Linked DNA regions of Sus scrofa. The protein of the gene in region 1 interacts with the protein of each later gene in a pairwise test. Links are inferred from orthologs where the notes say so. Each region holds a gene or a part of one and is shown in the gene's direction. Other genes may lie near its edges.

Region 1 (5,212 bases):
AGCTGCTGCCACCCTCTCCCGCCCTGCGCTGTGCCTGGGAGCCCTGGCTGGCAGCAGGTCGAGGGCTCAGGCGTCTGGACTCCGCTGCTGACGCGAGTGTGGACTATCCTGCTGACGTTTACACGGCGTCCCTGCCATAGTCCTGGAGGAGGAGTTCCACTGTCCCCTACGTGGCCAGGGGCAGGGTCTGGAATGGAAGCCTCAGACACGGTTGGGGAGGGCCAGGACCCTGGGCAGGACGGGGGTCAGGGAGCCTCATCACCAGTGTGAAGGTGCCAGAGCCCCTCCATCTGTCTGCTCTCATCAGTGGTTTTTTAGGATTATTTAAAGGGTCTGGGACCTTTTTCCACTTGGACGTGTCGGGGTACAGGTGGCAGGTGGGAGAAGTGGGTGCTGGCAGGGGACCTGTTCTCCCAGGTTCTCTCCAGGTCACCTCCCCCGCCCAGGGCCTCCCTGGGGACCTTTGTCATTTGAGCCAATTAAAAATACGAACTTGGAGTTCCCGGGTGTCTTAGTGGGTTGAGAATCTGGCGTTGTCACTGCTCTGACCCGGGTTGTTGCTGTGGTGTGGGTTTGATCCCTGGGCCAGAAACTTCCACAAGCCGTGGGCATGGCCACAAAAACCAACCAGGAGGGAGTTCCCGTCGTGGCGCAGTGGTTAACGAACCTGACTAGGAACCATGAGGTTGCGGGTTCGATCCCTGGCCTTGCTCAGTGGGTTAACGATCCGGCGTTGCTGTGAGCTGTGGTGTAGGTTGCAGACGCGGCTCGGATCCCGTGTTGCTGTGGCTCTGGCGTAGCCAGAAAATGGCAAAAAGACAAAAAAAAAAAAAAAAAAAAAAACAACCATGACCTCAACCATGATGGTGGGGAAGGAGCCGCTGCCAGAGCCAACACATCACACGCCCTCTCACCCCCTGCCAGAGCCAGGAGGAGGATGGAGCCACTGGGGACCCAGTTTCTGGAACCCCACCCCTCACCTCCAACTTTTTAAATTAGTTCGGGCAGATGACTGGTCAGAGAAAAAGTCCCTGCCTCCCCGCCTGGTCTCCTGGGAGGGAAGGTCAAGTTAAGGTCTCCAGCTCAGGCTTGGGAGGAGGAGCTGGGGCCCCGGACTTTCCAGTCCCTGAGGCACGTCTGGGTCCCAGCCTCTGGGCTCACTTGCCCACCTTCTCTGCTCCACCTCCCTGGGGCCACCAGGAGAGCGGCCCTCCCCGCCCTGTGCCTGCAGGCTTCCGGAGGGGCTGACTTGCTTAGAGCCGAACCCCCTTGGCCCTGGCCAGGCCTGTGACCCTGCGTGAATCTACCTCGCTGAGCCTTCATTTCCTGCCTTATAAAGAGACCAGGAATCAGGTGCAGCGCCTCAGTAATCCAGAGGCTGCTGTTCCGCCCCAGGCGGGGCCCACGGACCTTAGTGCTGGGTTCTCCTCCCAGCTCCTGTCCCTCCCTCTCTCGGTGCCCTTTGCTTTGTCTGCTCAGGGACGCCCTCATTCCCCCTCCCCCGTGCCCTTCACCCTGGGTGCAAGCTTTTTGCAGCATGAGCTGCCGCCCTCGATGCTGGGCTGTCCCCACAGCCCTCCTACCGGCCTGCTCCCTGGGCATGAGAGCCAGGTCCTTCCCAGGCGGCACCTTGGAGCTGGTAAGAGCTCTTCTGGTGAAGCGGCTGTGACCAGAAAATGGGGAAAATGAGGCCCAGAGAGGGGCGCGTAGTCACACAGCCTATTTGTGGCTGATGTGGGGCTAGAGTCAGATCTGATTGCTGCTCCTTGGAGCCCCTGGATTCTTGTCTCGCCCCACTTGAGGTGTCAGGGGAGGGGGGCCAACACCCACTGTGCTCCCTCCACCCCCACTGGCCTGACTCGGGAGGCTGCACCTCTGGCCACTGGACCCAGAAGAGGAAAACACCCAGCAAAGGTTTGTGTCCCAGATCCCACGTGCGACATTAACTTCCAGTACCCCTGCTGGTCAGGGACCAGACCTCTGGGTGCAGGCGCCTGAGGACGTGGCAGCACTGTCCCTTGCTGAGGGGCACAGTTGGGGGGGTGCCCTTGACTCCAGGCAGGCAGAGGAGAGCAGTGGGGACAGCACCTGATGGCCTGGTACAGAGCCCAGAGGGGGCCTCGGTCCCTGCTGTTTACAGACAAGCCGCTGTCCTCCCTGGGCGAGGGGGAAGGGGTGGGGCGGAAGGCATGTGCCAAGGTGGCACGAGGCTGGGCATGTGCCTGGTCCCAGACAGTGTCTAAAGAGTGTCAGACACCTGGAGGTGTCACTCCGAGGACCCCCGCCCCCACCGGAGCACCTCGATCTCTTCAGAAGCTGACCTCTGACCTGAGGTCAGCCAGAGTCCGGAGACCCCAACCCCCGCCCTGGGCCCAGAGTCCCCCCATCAGTGAGTATTGGCTCTGCTTATAGCATCTGACGCCAGAGGGGCTGAAAATAGCCCCTGGAGGAGGGGGAGGAGGGGGCTATTTAAAGGGCCTGGGAGGAGCAGAGCCCAGAGCAAGCCAGCGGTCATCATGGCCACTTCAGAGCTGAGCTGCCAGGTGTCCGAGGAGAACTGTGAGCGCCGAGAGGCCTTCTGGGCCGAGTGGAAGGATCTGACGCTGTCCACGCGGCCGGAGGAGGGGTGAGTGCTTCCTCCCCTCCTGGGGGTCCCTCTCCTCCCCTAGAGCACTGTCCCTGAGCCTTAAGAGGACAGAGCACAAAGCCCAGGAGGAGCGTGGGGGGGGGGGGGGCAAAGAGAGTGCTCCCCAGGGAGAGCAAGGTGGAGTCGCCCCCACTGCACCCCAGGTCCCGGCAGCCCGAGGGAGCCCCGCCACCCAGGCCGAGACTGCAGGGCAACAGCTTTTAGGACTTCAGTGTTCCCCCCACCCCGGCCTTCTTCTTCCCAGTTGCTCTCTGCACGAGGAGGATGCCGAGCGGCGTGAGACCTACCACCAACAGGGGCAGTGCCAGGCGCTGGTGCAGCGATCCCCCTGGCTGGTGATGCGAATGGGCATCCTAGGCCGTGGCCTGCAGGAGTACCAGCTGCCCTACCAGCGGGTGCTGCCGCTGCCCATCTTCACCCCTGCCAAAGTGGGCGCCGCCAAGGAGGAGCGCGAGGAGACCCCCATCCAGCTGCGGGAGCTGCTGGCGCTGGAAACAGCCCTGGGTGGCCAGTGTCTGGACCGCCAGGACGTGGCCGAGATCACCAAGCAGCTGCCCCCTGTGGTGCCTGTCAGCAAGCCTGGCGCCCTTCGTCGCTCCCTGTCTCGTTCCATGTCCCAGGAAGCACAGAGAGGCTGAGAGGGACGGTGACTCGGGCTCCACTGTGCCTGCCCTGGACTGGGCCCTTCCTGGCTAGGACCACGGAGGGGAGCTGCTGGCCATGGATGCTTTGTAGTTTGCCCAGAGTTGGGGGCTAGGGGAGGAGGGAGCCAGAGGCCGGGATGCCTGGGTCTCCTGAGTTTCCAAGGGGAAGGGAGCAAAGACAGCGGGCACTCAGGGTGGAGAGCTGGGGGCCAGCCCAGCCAAGCACCCCCAGCCCTAGGAGGGAGGACAAAAGGTACGGGTGAGGGCAAGAGGCCCCTAAGAAGGGTGGGCCCCGAACAGATTTCAGCTTCGGAGAACAATGAGAAAAAAGTGAGAGAGGATCTGGAATGCGCTGGGAAGGAGGCTTGGAGAAGACCCGAGGGAGGGGGACGTGAGGAGGGCAGAGGCCAAATGGAGCCCCCAGCACCCTCTGTTAGCGCTGCAATAAATGCTCAGTCACCTGCCAGACTTTGTCTCTGTCCTTGTGGTTGTGGGGCCTACCCACTGGTGTCCCCCTGCTCACTTCTGGGAACCGGCCCTGCATCTCGGCTAAATGTGGCAGAGCTAGTGGGTCGCCCACGCTTGTGTGGGGGAGTGTGGCAGGGACAGAACTGTAAACAGGGTGGCCGTTCAATCCCCCTTCCTTATGGTGACTGCTGTGCCGAACTGGCCTCCGTGTCCAATCCTCTGGCACTGGGCAGTGCCCGGGAGGCCAGCTGGCATTCAGGGTTTGCTTAAATGATCTCATGGATAATATGGAGGGGGCTGGCACCAGGACTGTCCTTAGCTGTGCCTCGGGGTGTGCATGGGGTCAGTGACCCCAAGACTGACCTATCTTGGTTCTGAATCCAGACAGAATCAATCCTCAACTGGGATCAGGTGTTCTGCCCTCCCTGTCCTGAGAGCCCAAGGTGGGTTGGGGGGGGTGTTGGGGGGGGTCAGGTTCCTGTCTGTGACCCCTGCAGCTGTTGTGGTGACTCATGTCCCAACCTGGCTGCCTGGCCCAATTAGAAGACACTTTCCCCTGGGGACAAGGGGGGGCGAGTGGCACGGAGGAGGCCAGGGGCCCATCTTGGCAGGGGCTGGTGGCCTACCCAGGGTAGAGGGGCATTAGACATCACCAGAGGGGTCCCACTCCAGGAAGACCATGGAGTCGATGTCGCAGAATCCACTTCCCATTTGGGGGGATGGGAGGGGAGACCTGGCATCCTGACGGCCCGGTACCTGGAGCGCCAAGCCATCTGTCTGCAGGCCTGCCCCAGAGGGAGCTGGAGCTTGAGCTGGGAGATGAGAGGGGTCAGACTCCAGACCGGCGACACGCCTAATCCCTTGGCGCCCGAAGGCTCAGACCGCGCCCTCTGGTGGCCCTGGCAGCCCGGAGACTGCGCCCCGCGCCCTTCTGACCTCACCGGAGTCCTTGGCGGGAACGTCCCGAGCCTCCCGCCCTCGGATGGCCCCGGATTCGCAGCTCCGAGCCCGCAGGGCCCGCAGGGGAGGCCAGGCTGTTCCGCCCGCTAAGTGCATTAGCCTCGCTCGCCTCCCCTATCATTGCTGCCATCTGACGGGAGCGGCCCGGGCTCCGCTCTGGGGCCCCGGGGCGAACGTGGCGGAGGCTGGAACGGACTGTCCTTTCTGGAGTCAGGCCGAGGGGCGGTGGGGGGGGGGAACGCTGGAGGACAGGGACGAGAGGGCTAGAGGAGGGGCAGAGAAGGGGAATTGAGGTGATTTTATAAGAAAGGGGAGTGGATACTGGACAGGGTGTCCCAGAGATGGGAAGACTGGCGGGGGAGTGGGGGGCGGGCTGGGCCCTGGGTGGGGCGTGCTGGCAGCTGGGGTGAGAAAGGGCTAACTCCAACCCTGGCAAAAGAGAAGGGATGGGATGTCGAGCAAAAGGGGTGAATGGCTGCGAGGGCTGGAGAAG
Region 2 (6,091 bases), on another chromosome or scaffold:
GATTCGACCCCTAGCCTGGGAACCTCCACATGCCGTGGGAGCAGCCCAAGAAATTGCAAAAAAAATAAATAAATAAAAAATAAATAAAATTACGTTTCTTACCAATGAGATCCTGCTGTGTAGCACTGGGAACTACATATACTCAAATGATGGAGCATGATAATGAGCGAAAATAGAATGTCTACATGTATGTGTAACTGGGTCACCATGCTGTACAGTAGAAAAAAAATTGTATGGTGAAATAACTATTAAAATAATAATAAATAAATAAACAAACAAAATTACGTTTCTATTGGACAGCGCTGCCTCGAAGGTTAAAAAAAGCCAGAGCTGAGAAGCCCTAGACCAGCAGAGCTTTACACCACATGGACCACAAGGGGGCGGTACTGCAGTACCCAGCTGCCTCGGTACTGCAGGACAAGTGGGCGGGCTCCCGACGTTTTTTAATGCTATCTTTTAAGAGTGGTTTTAAACTGCTTTTTCTAAAATTTAAATGTCGCATATTATAGTAACCCCTAAGTTAATATAAATCATTTCTCTAGGCCAGGAGTCTAAAACTCCTGAATTACGACATTCAAGGCTGGAATTTTAAGGAAGCTGAAAGTTTCTCACCATCACAGCTAGGGAATAAAGAGGGACTCTTGAATTCAAGGCAAGAGGAACCGGGAAGCTGTGCCCCAGAACAGAAGTGAAAGCTGAGTAAAGCTGGAAAGTGAATAAAAGCTGGAGGAGAGAGGGCTGGAGAAAAGGGAGGTCGAGGTGTGCTGCCAGGAGGATTACAGGGAGCGGGTAGAGGCTTATGGGGGGATGGGTGAGCCTCTGGGCACACTCCCATTCTCATCAAAATGCTACCAATCTGAGTGTAAACTGGAACCACCTTTCTGGGGGGTAACTTGTAAGTGTATATTAAAAGACTTTAAAACCTTGACCCAATAATTCCATTCTTGTAACTTACTATAAGAAAAAATTTAAACTGCACAAATATTTGGCCATAAGAATATTCATCCAGCATTTGTCACAGCCAAAACCCAAACATAACAACGACAACAACAAAACTATAAGCAACCTAACTGTACATTAATAAGGGGTTGGTTAAGCTATAATATGTAATATTTTCTAAGTATTACAAATGCCGTAAATGAACTTTATGTCAGAAAGACATTTTTGCTAAATTTTGTGAAAAAGATAAGCTACAGAATTGTTTGTACAATATGTGTGTCAACTTAGCTTTAAAAAAGAAAAAACAATAACACAAAGTATACATTTGCAAAGACAACCAACCGGCGGAAAGAATATTCTCCAAGGCCTTATCAGTCATCTCCGGACAAAGACAATGGGTGGGCTTTCTTTCCTTATTTTTACAACTGCTTTTTTTTTTAATTTTTGTCTTTATGTCTTTTCTAGGGCCGCTCCTGCGGCATATGGAGGTTCCCAGGCTAGGGGTCGAATCGGAGCTGTAGTAGCCCGCCTACGCCAGAGCCACCACAGCAACGTGGGATCGAGCCGGGTCTGCGACCTACACCACAGCTCACCGCAACGCCGGATCTTTAACCCACTAAGCAAGCCAGGGATCGAACATACAACCTCATGGTTCCTAGTCGGATTCGTTAGCCACTGAGCCACGACCAGAACTCCCTATAACTGCTTTTGTAATTAACTTTTTTTAAAGGTTACTTTTTAAGTGGTCCTACCCAGTCTTTATTACAATGACACCTTCTTTCTCAAACGTTCCCGAATCCTCTCCAAAGAGGAAGAACCAACGTCTTCGAAAAATCGCAACACTTGCCCCCCTACCCAGCTTGGGGTTTTAATTTTGTTCCGCCTCATCCTCTAGTCCCTTGTCCTTCCTCTCTTTGTCCCTCCAAGCCTGGGGAACCCTTCATCGGAATCCTGTGTCTCTCTTGTCTGTCCCTGCCCTACCACCTGGATGGGACCCCGCGGGGCCGGCCGGATTATTGTAAAACTTCAACCAGACCTGGCCCGACTTCTCGGAGTCGGTGGAATCGAAATCCAAAGGTCTGTACGGCGGAGACAAAGGGACAGGCCAGGAAGCTGGCTCCAAGGGAAGACTACAGACCTCCCTCCCGGGGGTACATCCCGCGCGGTCCCCTCGCGGGTCGCACCCCAGGCAGCAGAACCCCGCCCAGCTCGCGGCGGCAGAGGGCGCGTAATGACATCATCCCGGAGAAAACGCCGAGACTGCGCCACGAAGTTTGTCCCTTTGGAGGCGCCGTCCAGGTCCGCGTCCTGCTCGCATCATGTGACTGACCAAGCGGAGCCGGAGACCAGTTTCCTAGGAGAAGACCCACCGTGGGTGGTGCGCCCGGCGGACGGCGGCGGGATGGAAGCAACCTTGGAGCAGCACTTGGAGGACACGTAAGTAATGTGGCCACGTCGGCCTGTCCTGGGTTCGCGGCGGGCCTGTCCTTGAGCGCAACAGAAGGCGCGAGCTGTGACTGCCCGCTGGGCTTCTTGGGGACGTTCTCTCCCCGGGCCGCCGATGGGAGTGGAGGGTAACCCGGAATTAAATCCCGCCGGTGCTCCGCACACTCCCTCCGGAACAAGTGTCCCGGGTCCGAGCCCAAATCCCGCCTGTCGTGTAGAAATTGTTTGGGCGGGGCCGTTCTTTAGGAGTTTTAGGAACCGAGTTCATTTGGGGGAAGGAGGTACCTACCACCTGTATCTTCAGTGTAAACGTAAACACACACGCGTACCTCCTTCTGGTGTAACCAGTTATTTGGTGCTCAAGAAGATGAAAGACATCCTTTAAATTTTTCGAACAGATAGTGTCTACGTAAAATCCAAAATTAGAAAAGTTTAAGACGGCGTACAGGGAGACACCTCCCTTGCATCAGGGCCGCTCAGCTTCCCACTTCCTCTCCATGGGGCAACCAGTTTTAGTTAGCTTTTCAGCAGTTCTTTCAAGTGAGAGAGTAGGCTAAAATACATATTTTTAACGAGGGCAACAAAATCCTAGCTATTGCAACGTTTGTAGCCCTCCAAAGCTTAGCAGTACCTGGCAGTCTTTTCTCTCATCAGAGAGAAATTAGTTTAACCATCATTAAAGTTAGCTTATTATGATTTAATGTAATTTTTCTTGGAGTAGGGATGAGGGATAAAGAAAAAAGACTAACACTGATTTAAAGCACTTAACAGCAGTGCTGGGTACATAGAAAGCCTGTGTGTGTTATATTTAAATCCATTTTTCCTACATCATTTGCTTCTTTCTTCCTGTGTCCCTGGAATTAGAATGAAGAATCCATCCATTGTTGGAGTCCTGTGCACAGATTCACAAGGACTCAATCTGGGATGTAAGTATCTGACAACAGCCCTTCCAGGGATTGCACAGCACTTGATGTTGACTGGGAGCCTAGGGTGCTTTCTCTAGTTTGCATTTCCTGCCACCCTGCCACTTTTGGGGGACTTTTCTGTAAATAGAGATCATCTCCCAATAGCAAAATTAGAAAACTGAATGTTTTCAGTTGATACTTATAAAGGTGGAGATGTCCCTTGCAGTTCTAGCACTACATAGTTGTTTCTTCTAGAATAGTATTTGAATCATTCTAAACAGAGTCTAGAAAGGACTTCAGATAATGACAGCAGTTACCATTTATTGAATGTATTTTGGGACTGCTAAATTTCCCCAGTAACCCTGCCAGATGGATGGTGTTATTTTTTAGTTCAACTTCACTGAACAGTAAGTAGGCAGTAAAAATGAGGGGTGCAAGCTCAGACACACCTAGGTTCAACCCCCAGCCCTCCCCTGTACTACTAGTGTGAACCTGGACCAAAAAGAACCTTTCCGAATTTCAGTTTCTGTAGTGGGTTGTTGTTTGATAATAATTATTATTATGGAATTGCACTTACTGAGCTCTATGTGCCAGGCACCATTATAAGCACTTTCCACATATCAAGTCATTTAATCCTTGTAACAATCCTATGAGGTAGATAAAGAAATTGAGGCACAGAGGTTGAGTAACTGGACCAGGGTCATACAACTAGTAAGTGATTGAGCTAGGATTTGAGTCTGGCCCCAAAGCCTCTACATCACAATAATATAGGATCATATAAAATATGTAAAACACTCAGCACAGAACCCAGACATGATGCTCAACAGATAGTAACAAATTGCAGATGAGGAAAGAAATCCAGAAAGGTAAACAATGGGAGGCTTCAGCTAATTAATGTCAGAACTAGTAAACCCAGGACACCCTGCTCACTACTCTTCTGTTCTGCAAGATTTTTTTAAAGCTCTGAATTTTTGCAGGGAGGGTAATTGAAAGAATTAGTCTGTGTAACTCAGGTTTTATACACAAATCAGTTAGTTGGAAGAAAAGGGAGATTTTTTTTTTTTTTTTTTTGAGGTGCTTGCCAGGTTTACAGATGGAAAGGTTGAGATTCAAGTATGGAAATCTAAAACTAAATTAATTTCTTTAAGAAACTTTCAAGGTCCCACAGATGAACCTACCTACAAAACAGAAACAGACTCACAGACATAAAGAACAGACTTGTGGTTGCCAAGGGGGAGGAGGGAGGGAGTGGGATGGACTGGGAGTTTGGGGTTAGTAGATGCAAACTATTACATGTAGAATGGAGAAACCATGAGGTCCTACTGTATACCCCAGGGAACTATATCCAATCTCTTAGGATAGACCATGATGGAAGATAATATAAGAAAAGAAATGTGTGTGTGTGCGGTCACTTTGCTGTACAGCAGAAATTGGCATGACATTGTAAATCAATTACTGTTTAATAAAAATATATATAAATTTATTTTTTTATTGCTCAAATGAATTTATCACATCTGTAGTTGTATAATGATCATAACAATCCAATTTCACAGGATTTCCATCCCATAAAAAATATATATATATAAATTTTATATACATTCTAAAAAAGAAGCTTTTAAGGCCCAAAAGACTACATTGTGTCTGTCCAGTTAATGTTTTATAAACAACAGTAACTTCATCAACTCTGCATAGTAGCATGTACATTACCTGACCTGGTTTCAAGTACATGGGCTTGTGTTGCCTCTATATACAGAAATATACGGTAAACTTAGTGATTACTTTTTGTACCTCACACCTAAGTTATTATCTACAGGCTAAAACAGACATTAGTAAAAAGCTAATTCTGTTCCTATTTGAAAACAACCAGCTTGTTCTAATGGACATAATTGCTTATAGAATAGTTATGTATGCTGTTAAGGAGATCCTACAGCTAAACTCTTGAGCCAAGATCTTTATATTCTTTGAAGTTGAACTCAGTAAAAGGAAATTAGATTTCCCATGAGGAATTAATTAGTTGGGATTTTTGGGGGAGGGCCTCACCCACAGCATGCAAAGTTCCCAGGCCAGGGATCAAACCCATGCCACAGCTATGCCAGCACCATAGCAGTGACAATGCTAGATCCTTAACCCACTGAGCTATGAGGGAACTCCAGGAATTAATTAGTTTCAACGTCTCTTGTCCTTACTGACTGCTTTTTGTCAGTCTCACCTCTGAATTTCGTCTTGGTTTCAGTTTGCTTCCAGACTGACTTGAATTATAGCTTCCTTACATGCTTGAGAAGGTGTTTGAAGATGGTGATGGAAATGACTTGGAGAACTGAGTGTTACGGCTTTATTGACTTAAAAGCTGTTGTCTGGCTTCCTCACTGAGATAACCAGCTGAGTCTCAGGGCAGAATCATTTCATGTCCGTACAGTACTAACAGTAGCTAAGAGCCCAGGAGCTGACCCTTCTTTTTGTGAATAACTGAGTTTAGTTCTACTATAGCTCTGTACTCATTTTTGGACAGTCAGGCAACATGATACCATATCTGTCTTCTAGGCCGAGGGACCCTGTCTGATGAGCATGCTGGGGTGATATCTGTCCTAGCCCAGCAAGCAGCTAAGCTAACCTCAGACCCCACCGATATTCCTGTCGTGTGTCTAGAATCAGATAACGGGTGAGTAGATGTCAGCAGATCCCTTCCTTTCCTTTTGATTCAGAAAAAGCCCTGGGGAACTTGACTGGGGCTTGCCCTGTGTTCATTTAAAGTACTTGGAGGATGGTTCCGCCCTTTGGACCATAGGAGCTGTTGCATTGAT
Region 3 (6,131 bases), about 37 Mb from region 1:
AGACCTGAGAAAACTGAGCTGGAAGCTGTCAATGGGGAAAGCCAAGCAACAACCTGATTTACACCTCAAAATCTAGTAACCCCCCCAAAAAAATACCTCAGAAACGGGTGGCACCAGACAGTTCTGGAGGTCTTTGAAAGCAAGTTTAAGAAGCTAGAAGGTAGTAAAATAACACTTTGAGATGTCTGAAGAAATATATCCAACATATAATTCAATACCTAGCCAAACTGTCAATTAAGTGTGAGATGGGAAAACAACTTTTTCAGACATGCACAGCCTCAAAAAGTACATCTTGTACTCTTCTTCTGGAAGCTACAGAGTATGTGCTCTATAAAATAAGGCAGTAAACTAAGGAAAAGAAAACTGTAGCATAGGCGTTCCCGTTGTGGCTCCGCAGTAACAAACCCAACCAGTACCCAGGAGGATGTAGTCCCTGGCCTTGCTCAGTGGGCTAAGGATCCAGCATTGCCGTGTGCTGTGGGGCTTGGGTCCCGAGCGGCTGCGGCTGTGGCGTAGGCCAACAGCTGTAGCTCTGATTCGACCCCTAGCCTGGGAACTTTCATATGCTGTGGGTTTGGCCCTAAAAACGCAAAAAAAAGAAAAAAAGAAACTGGAGGATATACTAAATTTAAGGCCCAACTTAAGTAAAGGGAATTTCCTTAGATGATGGCAAAGGGCGGTCAGGAGAGAGGCCACTCCATATGAGTGTGCCCCAGGAAGCTCTGGGGGTGACTTCTACAGGAAAAGGAAGTTGCTAAGACATTTTATTCATCCTAACAGCTTGAGTAGATATTTAGAACGCTGGTATATTGAGTGAGGGAAAAAGGCATAGAAAAGTAAACAAGCAAACAAACACAGTTTTAATTCCAGAGAAAGCAGAAAGTTACAAGAAAGAAAAAGTAATCATAGCTTTGTCCATGACTCAGCGGTAGCTAGATTTTTTCCATCATCAGACATGTGTAAACTCAGGCTACTGATCTACAGAAATGATCATTACAGGACGGGGGTCAGGAAACTAGTCTAAAACACAAGTTTTTGAATAGCAGAAAACGACTCTGCTGAAAAAGAACATGAATCAGTGGTGGTGGTCCCTCTGAGTCACGAGCATCAGGGCACCCACCGTGCCCCCTTCAAGACCCTCGCAAGTGCACAGATGAATCCATTGCGATAGAGCCCATTTCTGGCAGGCAGCGTTTGAGCTGACAACGGATTGGCTTTCCCCCATCCTTCTGCGGATCAGAAAGTGTTTGAACACCTGGCTGCCCTAATCGCTGAAGCCTATCCGCTGCTTTAGTTTTAACGAGAAAGTTTACTTTAAACGAGAAAGCAAAAGTTGGCTTCCTTTTCTCAATTCTTTAACAACAGTAACAAACACTTTTCAAAGTGCAGCCCTTTTCAAACAAAAGCCATGCAAGTGAACAAGCAGGGGCAGTTCTGAGGCCACTGAGACGTTGGCTGAGCAGCCCGACGGCGGCGATGCACTGCGGTCACTTTGGGCAGGATGCTCTCATACAGGTGTGAGCACGCGGACGCCGCCGAGGTCGGCCGGGCGCCCGGGAGCCTGGTCACAGAGCATCCTCTGCTGGTCAGAGAACGAAGGCACGGTCACAGTGCCCAGCTGTTCTCCAGTCACTGCGTCCGCACACGGGTTCGCAGCCCTAAAATATTTATTCGCTGAACAAGGTGTATGCGAGGATTAATTTCAGCGAGTCTGGACTCTTAAAAGGGCTGCAGTGGAGGCGAACAGGCCGGAACCTCCCTCCCGGGGACTCCGGCCCCGGACCCCTCGACCGGCCCCCCGCCCCCGGACCCTTGCCGCCCGCCCAGCCCAGCCCAGCCCAGCCCAGCCCAGCCCTACTCGGTGCGCCGTCCCGCACCGCCGCCGCCATCTCGCTCAGCAGCTCTTCCACCACAGCGGGCAGCGTAGGAACCCCCGCTGCCACCGCCATCGCCGCTTCCGCACCAGCCGGGGGCGGGGCGAGCGCGGGGACGTCAGCGTGCGTCCCGGCGCACGCGGGCGTCGGGGCCAATCCGACGAGCGCTCGACGCGGGGGCGGGACTTCCGGGGCCTTGGGCCGCAGTGCGCAGAGGACGCGGCGCAGCCATGTACCGGCTCCTGGGCGTGGGCCTGGCGCGCGGCCTCCTGCGGGCGGCTGGGCGGCAGCGCGGGGGTCGCCCGGCGCGCCTGCCGCCGGGGCCGGTGCGGAGTCGGGTGGACGTGCCGCCGCGCCTAGGGGTGCCGCGCGGCCGGGGTCCGGGGCTGCTGCCGCTGTTGGCAGGTGAGGGGCGTGGGCCGGGCGGGGGCCGGGCGCGGGCCGGGCGCGGTGACTTCAGAGCCCCTTCCCGCAGCGCTCGCCTGGTCCTCGAGGCCCGCCGCGGCGGAGCGGGAGCGAGAGCGAGAGCGGCGGGGCGAGGGCGAAGCAGCGGCCGAGGACGCGGCGGCCGAGGCGGAGGCCGAGATCATCCAGCTGCTGAAGCGAGCCAAGGTGAGGCGGCGGCGGCGGCGGCGGGGCCCCCGGTCACCGGGGCGGGTGAGGAGGCGGGAGGCCCCCCGTCCTGGGGGTGCCTGTCAGACGCCGCAGCCGGCTCGGGGCGCCGGGCCACAGGTGCAGGTGCTGGTGCAGCGCGGGCGGAGCTGTCTATCCAGACGGAGTTAGCGGGACGTTTGGAGCTGGAAGGGCGGGCAGGGAGGAAAATGCGCCTCGGTGTGGGTTATGCGCGATTTAGTTCTCTTATTCCCAGACAGTCCTCTCTGGCATCCTCTCCCGGGTTTCCGCACCGCTTCCCTTGGGCTCGTTGACCGCCGCCTCGGGGCCGACGTCATGCACACTTGCGCTCCCAGGCTGCGGGGTGCCGCCGGCTTCACCTGCCAAAAGCTAACCTTTGATCTTAAGGGCCTCCCCGACATCTTGCTTCTCCATCTCCTCTTTACGGCCATCCCCCCGTGTTCGTAGTCATTCTTAGAACCTGGCATACCTAACCATCACTCCCCGTACAGAGTCCAGCCACAAGTCCTTAGAGGATGTTGCCATCAAATCCAAACTATTCGGCAAACCTGTCCCCTTCTGTGTCTCTCTTCTGCTGTCACCCTAGCCGCACGGCCGCAGCCTGCTCCCTCCTACTGCCTCCTTGCCATCCATTCTCCAGGCAGCAGCCAGAGTGGGTTTTTTTCCTTTAATTTTTTTTTATATTTTTCAATTTTATTTTATTTTTTAGGACCATACCGGCAGCATGTGGAGGTTCCCAGGCTAGGGGTCGAACCGGAGCTGCAGCTGCCGGTCTTTTACTACAGTCATGACAACACCAGAACTGAACTGCATCTGTGTCCTACAATGCACCTCACAGCAACACCAGATCCTGAACCCACCGAGCAAGGCCAGGGATCGAACCCTCACCCTGGTGGATACTAGTTGGGTTCTTAACCTGCTGAGCCCCAAGGGGAACTCCCTCTTTTTTTTTTATTTGTTGTTTTTATGTGAATCAGATCATATCCCTTCCTTCCCCCAAAACTTGGGACGCCTCTCCTGTGCATTTAGGGCAGAATCAAACTCCTTGCTGTGGCCTGTGGGGCCTTTCGTGAGCCACCCCACACTGCCTCCGTGTTTGGCAGTAATCCTCTGGCTCATCGCGCTCCTTTCACATGTTTCCTTTCCTCCTAGCCGTTTACTTTAGCGGGGGGGGGGGGGGGGGGCGGCCTTTGTGTGCTTCTCTGTGTTTGGGTCGTTTTCCCCACAGTCCCTTATTTGCTGGATGCTGTCTCTTTCTTCTTATGCCAGTTTAACTGCCACTTCCTTGGAAGGCTTCTCTGACTCCCATTTCGAGGAAACCTCTCCATGTTCTTTTCTGTTGCTTTTCTTTGTAGCTTTTGTCACAAGTTGTAATGAAGCTTAGTGGTCCTACAGGGTCACGTCCAGCTTTCAGGAAGAGAGAAAGAGGACGGAGGGCCAGCAGCTTCCTTATAAGATATGATAAGAATTTGCTTACAGGAGTTCCCGTCGTGGCGCAGTGGTTAACGAATCCGACTAGGAGCCATGAGGTTGCGGGTTCGGTCCCTGCCCTTGCTCAGTGGGTTAACGATCCGGTGTTGCCGTGAGCTGTGGTGTAGGTTGCAGACGAGGCTCGGATCCCGCGTTGCTGTGGCTCTGGCGTAGGCCGGTGGCTACAGCTCCGATTCGACCCTTAGCCTGGGAACCTCCATATGCTGTGGGAGCGGCCCAAGAAATAGCAACAACAACAACAACAACAAAAAGACAAAAGACAAAAAAAAAAAAAAAAAAAGAATTTGCTTACATTCCTGCAGTGTGCATCTACGGGCTGCAGTTTTGTCATATGGCCACGCAGAGTGGCGGTGGAGGCTGGCCTCCCAGTCACCGTTATTGGCGAGGGTCTGGAGCCCAGGAGGAATTAAGGGAACACGGGATGAATGAGTAGCTTCCTTCTGTGTATTCAGCTGTGCCCACTTCTGTCTGGCAGCACCTGCACTTGCTCGCTTGGTATGTCATTTTACATTATTTTCTTTGTTTTCTCTTTGCAGTTGTGCATCATGAAAGATGAGCTAGAAGAGGCGGAGCTAATTTTGCACGACGCCCTTCGTCTTGCTTTTAAGAGTGATAACAAGAAGGCCATCACTTACACTTACGATTTGGTAACTCTTCTAACCAGCTGGAGCCACTGACAGTGGAGGGTGGAGCAGCAGAAGGGTTGTTTGCTGTCCTAATTCATATTCTTGACCAGCAGGATGTCCTAAAGCTCTCTGGTTTTTGTTTTTACTAAGCTTCCTTTTGGTTTCCTCTTTTAATAACCCTTGGGGTTTCACTTATAAGACTCGGGAGTTCCCTGGTAGCCTAGTGAGTTAAGGATCCGGCGTTGTCACTGCAGCGGCTTGGATTGCTGCTGTGGCTCAGGTTCAGTCCCTGGCCCAGGAATTTCCACATGCCGTGGGCATGGCCAAAAAAACCAAAAACAAAAGCGCAATCCTGGAACCAAAAGAAGCATCATCAGTGTTGCTTTCTCAAGTGAGGAGTGCATCTCGATTGCGCCTGTTATCGTCGGGGCTGTGCACGTATTTGCTCTCACGTCATTGCTCTGCTTTGCTTCTCGCAGATGAGGACACGTTTTTGTCTGGACGGTTTTTTTCGTTAGAGGGTGAAGGCAGGTGGGAGGGGTCTGTAGCTTAAGGGATTTGAAGTAGGTCGGAACACAGTGGTCTAAACTGAAAACAGCTTGTGGTTTCTTTCAGATGGCCAATGTAGCATTTATACGGGGGCAGCTTGAAAATGTAAGTAAATCACTCGGTAATGCTGTGAGTACGTGAAGGACTCGCCTGGTGTTAGGAAGGGTGCACACCAGGCCGCCGTAACAAAGAGACCCCGACGTAGACTCAAATCAAAGGGGAGTGTGTTTCCCTCCGACACGTTCGTTCGTCCAGAGGTGGCGGGACAGGTACCTCTGCTGCACAAAGTGGCCAGAGGCGCAGTGATCCCCTCTGAGCTTTGTCCGCATCCGCCTGGAAGAGGAGGCTCCCTCCAGCCTGCAGGAGGGAGCAGGGGCTGGGGGCCAAGCAGCTTCCTTGGAGAGAAGGACTTGGAAGTTGTTCCCTTCACGCATGTGCCTCTCTTGGCTGCAGCTCATTGTAGGACCCCACCTAACTGGTACAAGTTTGGAGGCTTCACCTCTTAAAAATTGAGGGGACGCTGACTAAAAACACAGCGAGTGGGTATTAGGGAATTGTTTGCAGTCTCTGCCGTGGTGGGTCTGGATGAGAAGTTAATGTCCGAAGTTGGTTTCTACTCACTTGCAGAGTAGTTTTTAAGGGGCCCAGGGGATGCGGGGTCCTGGTACGTCGTCGGTTTTCCCACCACGGGGTGCTTTTCTCTGTGTGTTGTGAGTGTGACGTGTGTTGCGATGTTCTAGGAGTGGTGCCTCAGGCTGCTGCTTAGAGTCCAGGGTCATACAGATGGGGGGCCAACTAAAAGCCTTCTTCTTGTGTTTTTAGGCAGAAAAACTTTTTAAAGCCACAATGAGTTACCTGCTTGGAGGGGGCCTGCAGCAGGTAGGATGTTGTGTAGGATTGGGTCCGAGCCGAAGCCATTTTCACAACAGTCTTGCTTCCTGAAAACTCCACGCGGACC
Region 4 (6,143 bases), on another chromosome or scaffold:
CTGCAACAACAGGCCCATCAACATCTAAGTTCCTCAGTGGATCAACTCAAATGCCACCCCACCCATGAAGCCCTCCTGACTCCTCCACATCCTGCAGTTTTTGTCACATGTTCTTTGGACTGTGGTTCTGTATATGCATGTTTTATCTCTGCTATATATCAGACTGAGTTCCTTGAGGACAGTGACTTGTGTCTTATTCAGTTTTCAATCCCCAGAGCCGAACACAATAGAGACACCTGAGAAACGCTCAACCAATATATATTTTTTTGGGCCGCAGGTGTGGCTTATGGAAGTTCCCAGGCTAGGGGTCAAATCAGAGCTACAGCTGCTGGCCTACACCACAGCCACATCACACCAGATTCGAGCCAGGTCTTCAACCTTCACCACAGCTTATGGCAACGCCAGATCCTTAACCCATGAGATCCTTAACTGAGCAAGACCAGGGATCGAACCCTTGTCCTTGGGTTTGTAACCCACTAAGCCACAACAGGAACTCCTCAACCAGTATTTTTTGAGGGAATGATTTCCTCTTAAAAGGATAGGCTTGGCTACAATGTACATTACTCATTTAAGTGCTTTTCCTGAGGTTGCAAGGTCTTTTACAATAGAAACTTCATTTTGTTTAGAAAAGAGTTCTCATGTCTTGCTCAGACCATCACAGCCCATGTGATAATAAACACAGTTAACGCCTCAGCTAGGTGAACTAATTACTCACTAAAAAAATGTCACCAGTTCTCTCCTTCGCTGTAGTTGCTAAAAAGCTATTGAAAGGAATAAGAAAATTCTCCAAAGATCTCTGAAAGGTTTATGAATACGCGTAACTTATTATTTGTTAATAGAGCTTATTAGATTCTCAGTAAGCGCTCAGTGCACTAGCATGAAGGGCACCCATGACCAGTCACAGCCCCCTACTCTTTGCTGGTAATTAAGTGCACGCTGGGGATGTGCTAACACAAGGTGTTCATTGCAGGAGGTTTTTAAAATCAAGGAGAAATAAAACTGCAAATTTAGCACATAAAAAATAGACGTGTTTCTTTTTCATTTTTGATCTGATTTTAAATATTTAAACAAAACATATAGCTGAAACAGTGGTTTCACAAAATCCCGGCAAATATCAGAACTGAAACTGATGGCTCAAGAAACAGTCCAGGAAATGGCCAGAGAAACTATCATTAAAAAAAAAAAAATCACCTTGGTAAGTGAGACAAATGCCAAGGGGTATAGGTATTTCAGACCAGATAAAACCCAGATCTGGAAGCAGGACTCGGTTTTCATGTCCACTGAAGATGGCCCTGCCATCTGTTCCCCACTGTGTGGCAAAACGAAATAAGGGGTCTGACCCCATGTCCCAGTTACTACTGTATTACTGATTGTCGATGGAAACTAAATTTAAATGTTTAAAGGCTGTCCAATTTTCTGGGCATTTTGGGGGTGGGGGTGGGGTATAGGATGAAAGAGGAGTAGGCAAAAGGGAGGGAAACGCACACTAGAGCTTTCTTTCACAACTTCTAAAAAAACCTGGATCATCAAGTGGCATTTGGATATTTTAAAATTTTGTGGAGCCTCCTATGGTGAAAAGATTAGCAATCAGTTTTTAAGTTGGAATTTTTCGCATTTCCTGACCCTCACAAAGAGGAAGTGGTTAAGACGAAGCGAGGCTTTTTAGATGACTACCTTTGTGAAGCCAGGATGATGCTCTTCAGGACCTGTTTTGTCTGTTTTCACCTCAGGCAGGGGGGTCATTGCTCCTTTTGGTGACTGGCTTCCTAAATTCTCAACACAGAAATGGCTTTCGTTCTACTTGGATGACATTCTCCCCAGTCCTGGAGAAGCCCGTCACCGAGTCCTTATTGAGTGCTCACAGAGGGCATAGCTCAGTGACTCGGCACGAACATTCCCATTTGTTGTTGACAACTGTCAGCGGCACCTCCCGCTCCTCACAACCCCTGTCTAAATGGCTTTTGCAGTCCTCCTTCCCACCCACTCTCTTCACTCCTTGGGCCAGGAATGTTGGCCCCTGTTCCCTGTCACCTGTCAGAATCCATCCTCCTGTCACTGGCTTATATGGAGAAGTCAGCCAGCTGTCACGTGACCCTCGGCTGCTAAAAACAGCTCGAGCACTGCTCTGAACCCCAGCCTGAAACAATGTCCTCCACCAAAAGAAACGTAAAGGACGCTTGATTGTACAATCCTTGGAATTATTTCCAGGAATCACTCGCCGAAACCGTTCGAAGCACGCTTTCCCTGGCAGTGCACACGGGGACGGCCAGGAGATGAGCGCATCTTTGAATTACAAGTCTTTTTCCAAAGAGCAGCAGACCATGGATAACTTGGAGAAGCAACTCATTTGCCCCATCTGCCTAGAGATGTTCACAAAGCCCGTGGTCATTCTTCCCTGCCAGCACAACCTGTGCAGGAAATGTGCCAGTGACATTTTCCAGGTAGGTTTGTTTGGAATCTAGGGGTAGAGGGAAAAAATGTTCTCATCTCCCAATCAAGTGCTTAAGTCTGAGGTGAATTTCTCTAGGAAGCGTTCTAAGGTTGCATTTATTTAAAACAACAACCAAAAAGAAAGACCATTTTTAAAAGTGATTTGCTTTGTGCTTTGCCATCAGCCTCCTCCTGGCTCTCAAATCTAATTTTATTAAAATATTAAGAATCATATTTGTCCTTTTAGAAACATTGAATCTGTTTCAAAATTGTAAATGAATTACTGCCCAAGGCATTACTGTTGGAGTTTCTGGCTGGAACTTTTGGTTATGAAAACGTTAGGTGGAAAAGGACCTCATGCTGAAAATGGCACATTGCAGTTGACCATGGGTGAGGGTTGGTCCTGTGTTTTGGGACCAGTTACTATCTCCCAGCAAGGAGTTGATGTTGTTTGTAGTAACTGAGAGGGAAAGGAGGTCCCAGGAAAGCTACCTGTGGCAATGCTCAATTCCTCTTTTCTTGCTCGGCAAGAACAGGCCTCTAACCCGTACTTGCCCACAAGAGGAGGCACCACTGTGGCCTCGGGGGGCCGATTCCGCTGCCCATCCTGCAGACACGAAGTGGTTTTGGACAGACATGGGATATACGGGCTTCAGAGAAACCTGCTGGTGGAGAATATTATTGACATCTACAAGCAAGAGTCCACCAGGTATGCGCCCCCCTCCCCTGCCCCCGCCGGCCGTGTCAAACACGTTGGAAGCTTGCTTTTGTTTATTTGTTTGTTTTAGTGGGTCGCTATACTGAATGCTTGTTTGCCAATCACGGGCTAATTGTTTTATAGGAAAATGTTTTTCCAAGTCAGTCCTTACCAATGGGAGAGAGAGTTGCTCTTGGGAGGAGAGAAGGAAGCTGGTGCCCATGCTTTTCTATCAATTTAAGAATGAAGTAACTCATTATCACTAATCCAGTCCAGATGGTGATCTTGAAAGAGGCATGATGCTGCCCCTGCTCCCAGCCTGGTATTACATCCACAGGAGACGTTTCTGCACTTCACAGGTCCTTTAGAGCTCCAGAGTCTACACAATAGGAAATTAACAGAAATGACATCTTCCAAAATCAACCTCTTAGATCAGACAGTCTCACTTTAAAATTTTCTAGAGGAGAATCATAAAAAGAAAATCCTCTGACGTGGTCATGGTATTGACTCTGGAAAGGAGCAAAGCAAGGCAGAGTCCTAAGCTTTAGCAACTTAAAAGTTTAGAGACGAAGAAAAAAAAAAGAAGAAGAGGGTGCTCAGGTTATGTTTCCCTGTTCTCTAGGTTGTACTATGGGCTCTTGGCATTCACTTGCTGATTGACACGCAGTATACACATCAGTCATTAAAAAGGGGCAGTGGGTGCATCTTACTCATCGAATCACATTGGCTATAGTATTCCTTTCCTAAAGACAACACTGCAGGAGTTCATTCCTAGAAGGCATGGTGTGAAGAGCCCCCTTTTTAATGGTACAGTCAGTGCAGCCCACAACACCAGATAGCAATACTGAGACCATCTAGAAATGACCTCGCTGTGCTTCCTATTAGGAGACGTAGACTCATGGAACATCTGCAGGGCCCTAGGAGCCTTGTGCTCTTAGAAAGAAAGCTGTTCTATAAACCTAACATATAATTATTATCATCGCTATGGCTATTCATTTCTGCTTAAGATTCAAAACTAAATTAGATAGTGCCAGGATATAGATGGCACTGGGAAGAATTGCTGACAACGTACTGCAGAGATGGAGTTGGCTATTTCCCTTGCTTCCAAAATCTCTTGAGAAGAAGGAAAGTACCATTTTTGTAATTACGATTTGATCTCATTTTATTTCATTACTTTAAGATGCAAATAGATAAACTGTCTCTTAAATTAACCAGCCAAATAATAACCAACTGATCATTAAGGCTCTTTATGTAACAACTGATTCAGTGCCTAGTACAGTGGTTTGCACGGAATACTTGCTCCCTAAGTGCCAGGTGATTATGCAACCCCATAAATCTTCTTACACATTCTATTTATTGCAATAATTTTCTGTTTTGCTACTTGCAGAGTGAGAGCTTGAATGATATGAAATAATAATAGTAATTGTTATGTAATCCAGAAAAGAGGAGATGTTAAAAATTTGTAGCAGTAGTAAAATGACAAGACACATCCTGGCTTTAAAGTCTGTGCAGCGCGACTGCCAAATACAGTGCCCGGGTGAACAAGCTGCATAAAAGCAATGAACCAAACTTCCAACAACGAAACTCATGACTGAGTAGACTAGCAGTGTTTTTGTGATTATCAAATTCTTCTTATGCTGGTGTTTCTGGAAGTTGAGACTTGCCTTTGGGACATTTTTACTTAGTGGCGAAACCACAAATTGTACAGAGGGCTTGGGCACATGTTTGAACATAAACCCAGTTGTTCCCTGGAGGCTGGCAGATTTACCAGCCCAGAACCCTAAGGCCCAGGGTATGTTAGGTGACTCTGGAATAACGAGGATACATAGAGTGAAATGAACTGACTCTGGCCCATGGTCAGGGTGGGCGCAGATAGGGGAGGAGGCTGGTCCAGTCTGGCTTCCCACAGAATGGCTGGAGATGGTAGGTCTCAATGAAACCTGGCCTTCTAACCTATCATTCTGCCTGGTGCTGAACTAGCCACAGTTTGGGAGTGGGATGATGAGAGAAGGAACTAATTTCACTAATATTAATAATGAACATAATAACGAGTAACTGTAAAACACAGAAAGTAAAACAATTATGTGTTGAATATGTGTCAGCCACTGTTCAGGCTGCTAGACACATGAATCATGTGTAATTCCTTAATTCTCATAATAATCATGTGAGATTGTAGTTATTATTATTATTAACACCTTATTAAAATATTAAAAAATTTTAGTCAAAGTAATTCCTATGCACATGCATAATTTTAAACATTCCAATAGCACTACAAGACCTCAAATGAGGGCTGCATTTTTTTTTTTTTTTTGTCTTTTTGCCATATCTTGGGCCGCTTCTGCGGCATATGGAGGTTCCCAGGCTAGAGGTCTAATCAGAACTGTAGCTGCCGAGCCACAGCAACTCAAGATCCGAGCCCCATCTGCAACCTACACCACAGCTCACAGCAACGCTGGATCCTTGACCCACTGAGCAAGACCAGGGATCGAACCCTCAACCTCATGGTTCCTAGTTGCATTTGTTAACCACTGAGCCATGACCGGAACTCCAGGGCTGCATTTTCTGCCCTACTCTCTCTTTGAGCACTGAGGGAACCACATTTAACTCTTTCAGCTGTTCTTTGGCCATTTGTCACCCAGTGACAGGGGAGGAGTATGCTGCTAGTCTGCTCCTAGTCCTCGACTTTGCAACTGTAGACAGGGAGGACTGAGCCCTTGCGTGGCTGGGCTTCACCTCCTCTCCCCTGGCTTGAAGCCCTTGTTTCTGGCTCGAGGTTGACCTCTTTGTTGGTTTTATCTACTGCTTTAGGGAGCATGCCTTCAAGTAATCCCCCAAATGTGCAAAAAGTCCTCTTCTTTCCAGCCTCTCCACACTCCCGCCCCCCGAGTGCGTGGCCTCTGCAGCCCCAGGGCCTTCGCAGGGGGAGCAGCTTGCTCCCTGTACGCTTCTCCCCTGCAGGCTCTCAGCACAACTACAGTGCAGCTCAGGCAGGTCACCTCCGTTCATCCAGATGGTC

The links.
Region 2: the proteins of TCAP (region 1) and LAMTOR5 interact in binary tests that used the Homo sapiens proteins (3 or more experiments, as listed by UniProt). The link is inferred for Sus scrofa from reciprocal best matches to the Homo sapiens genes TCAP and LAMTOR5.
Region 3: the proteins of TCAP (region 1) and TTC19 interact in binary tests that used the Homo sapiens proteins (3 or more experiments, as listed by UniProt). The link is inferred for Sus scrofa from reciprocal best matches to the Homo sapiens genes TCAP and TTC19.
Region 4: the proteins of TCAP (region 1) and TRIM55 interact in a two-hybrid assay, tested with the Homo sapiens proteins (2 studies listed by BioGRID and IntAct). The link is inferred for Sus scrofa from reciprocal best matches to the Homo sapiens genes TCAP and TRIM55.

What each region holds. Positions count from the first base shown.
Region 1 is NC_010454.4:22,650,209-22,655,420, reverse strand, and holds TCAP (telethonin), read left to right. Parts: upstream 1-2,516; coding exon 2,517-2,626; intron 2,627-2,891; coding exon 2,892-3,285; 3' UTR 3,286-3,755; downstream 3,756-5,212. UniProt on the Homo sapiens protein: Muscle assembly regulating factor. Mediates the antiparallel assembly of titin (TTN) molecules at the sarcomeric Z-disk.
Region 2 is NC_010446.5:109,720,625-109,726,715, forward strand, and holds the start of LAMTOR5 (ragulator complex protein LAMTOR5), read left to right. Parts: upstream 1-2,039; 5' UTR 2,040-2,170; coding exon 2,171-2,376; intron 2,377-3,249; coding exon 3,250-3,311; intron 3,312-5,831; coding exon 5,832-5,949; intron 5,950-6,091. UniProt on the Homo sapiens protein: As part of the Ragulator complex it is involved in amino acid sensing and activation of mTORC1, a signaling complex promoting cell growth in response to growth factors, energy levels, and amino acids.
Region 3 is NC_010454.4:59,414,770-59,420,900, reverse strand, and holds the start of TTC19 (tetratricopeptide repeat protein 19, mitochondrial), read left to right. Parts: upstream 1-2,079; 5' UTR 2,080-2,104; coding exon 2,105-2,279; intron 2,280-2,349; coding exon 2,350-2,486; intron 2,487-4,534; coding exon 4,535-4,645; intron 4,646-5,239; coding exon 5,240-5,278; intron 5,279-5,995; coding exon 5,996-6,052; intron 6,053-6,131. Other genes in the region: ZSWIM7 (zinc finger SWIM domain-containing protein 7), read right to left, coding at 1,859-1,949. UniProt on the Homo sapiens protein: Required for the preservation of the structural and functional integrity of mitochondrial respiratory complex III by allowing the physiological turnover of the Rieske protein UQCRFS1.
Region 4 is NC_010446.5:68,526,876-68,533,018, reverse strand, and holds the start of TRIM55 (tripartite motif-containing protein 55), read left to right. Parts: upstream 1-2,091; 5' UTR 2,092-2,273; coding exon 2,274-2,441; intron 2,442-2,961; exon of another isoform or gene 2,962-2,966; coding exon 2,967-3,139; intron 3,140-6,143. UniProt on the Homo sapiens protein: E3 ubiquitin ligase that plays an important role in regulating cardiac development and contractility, muscle growth, metabolism, and fiber-type differentiation.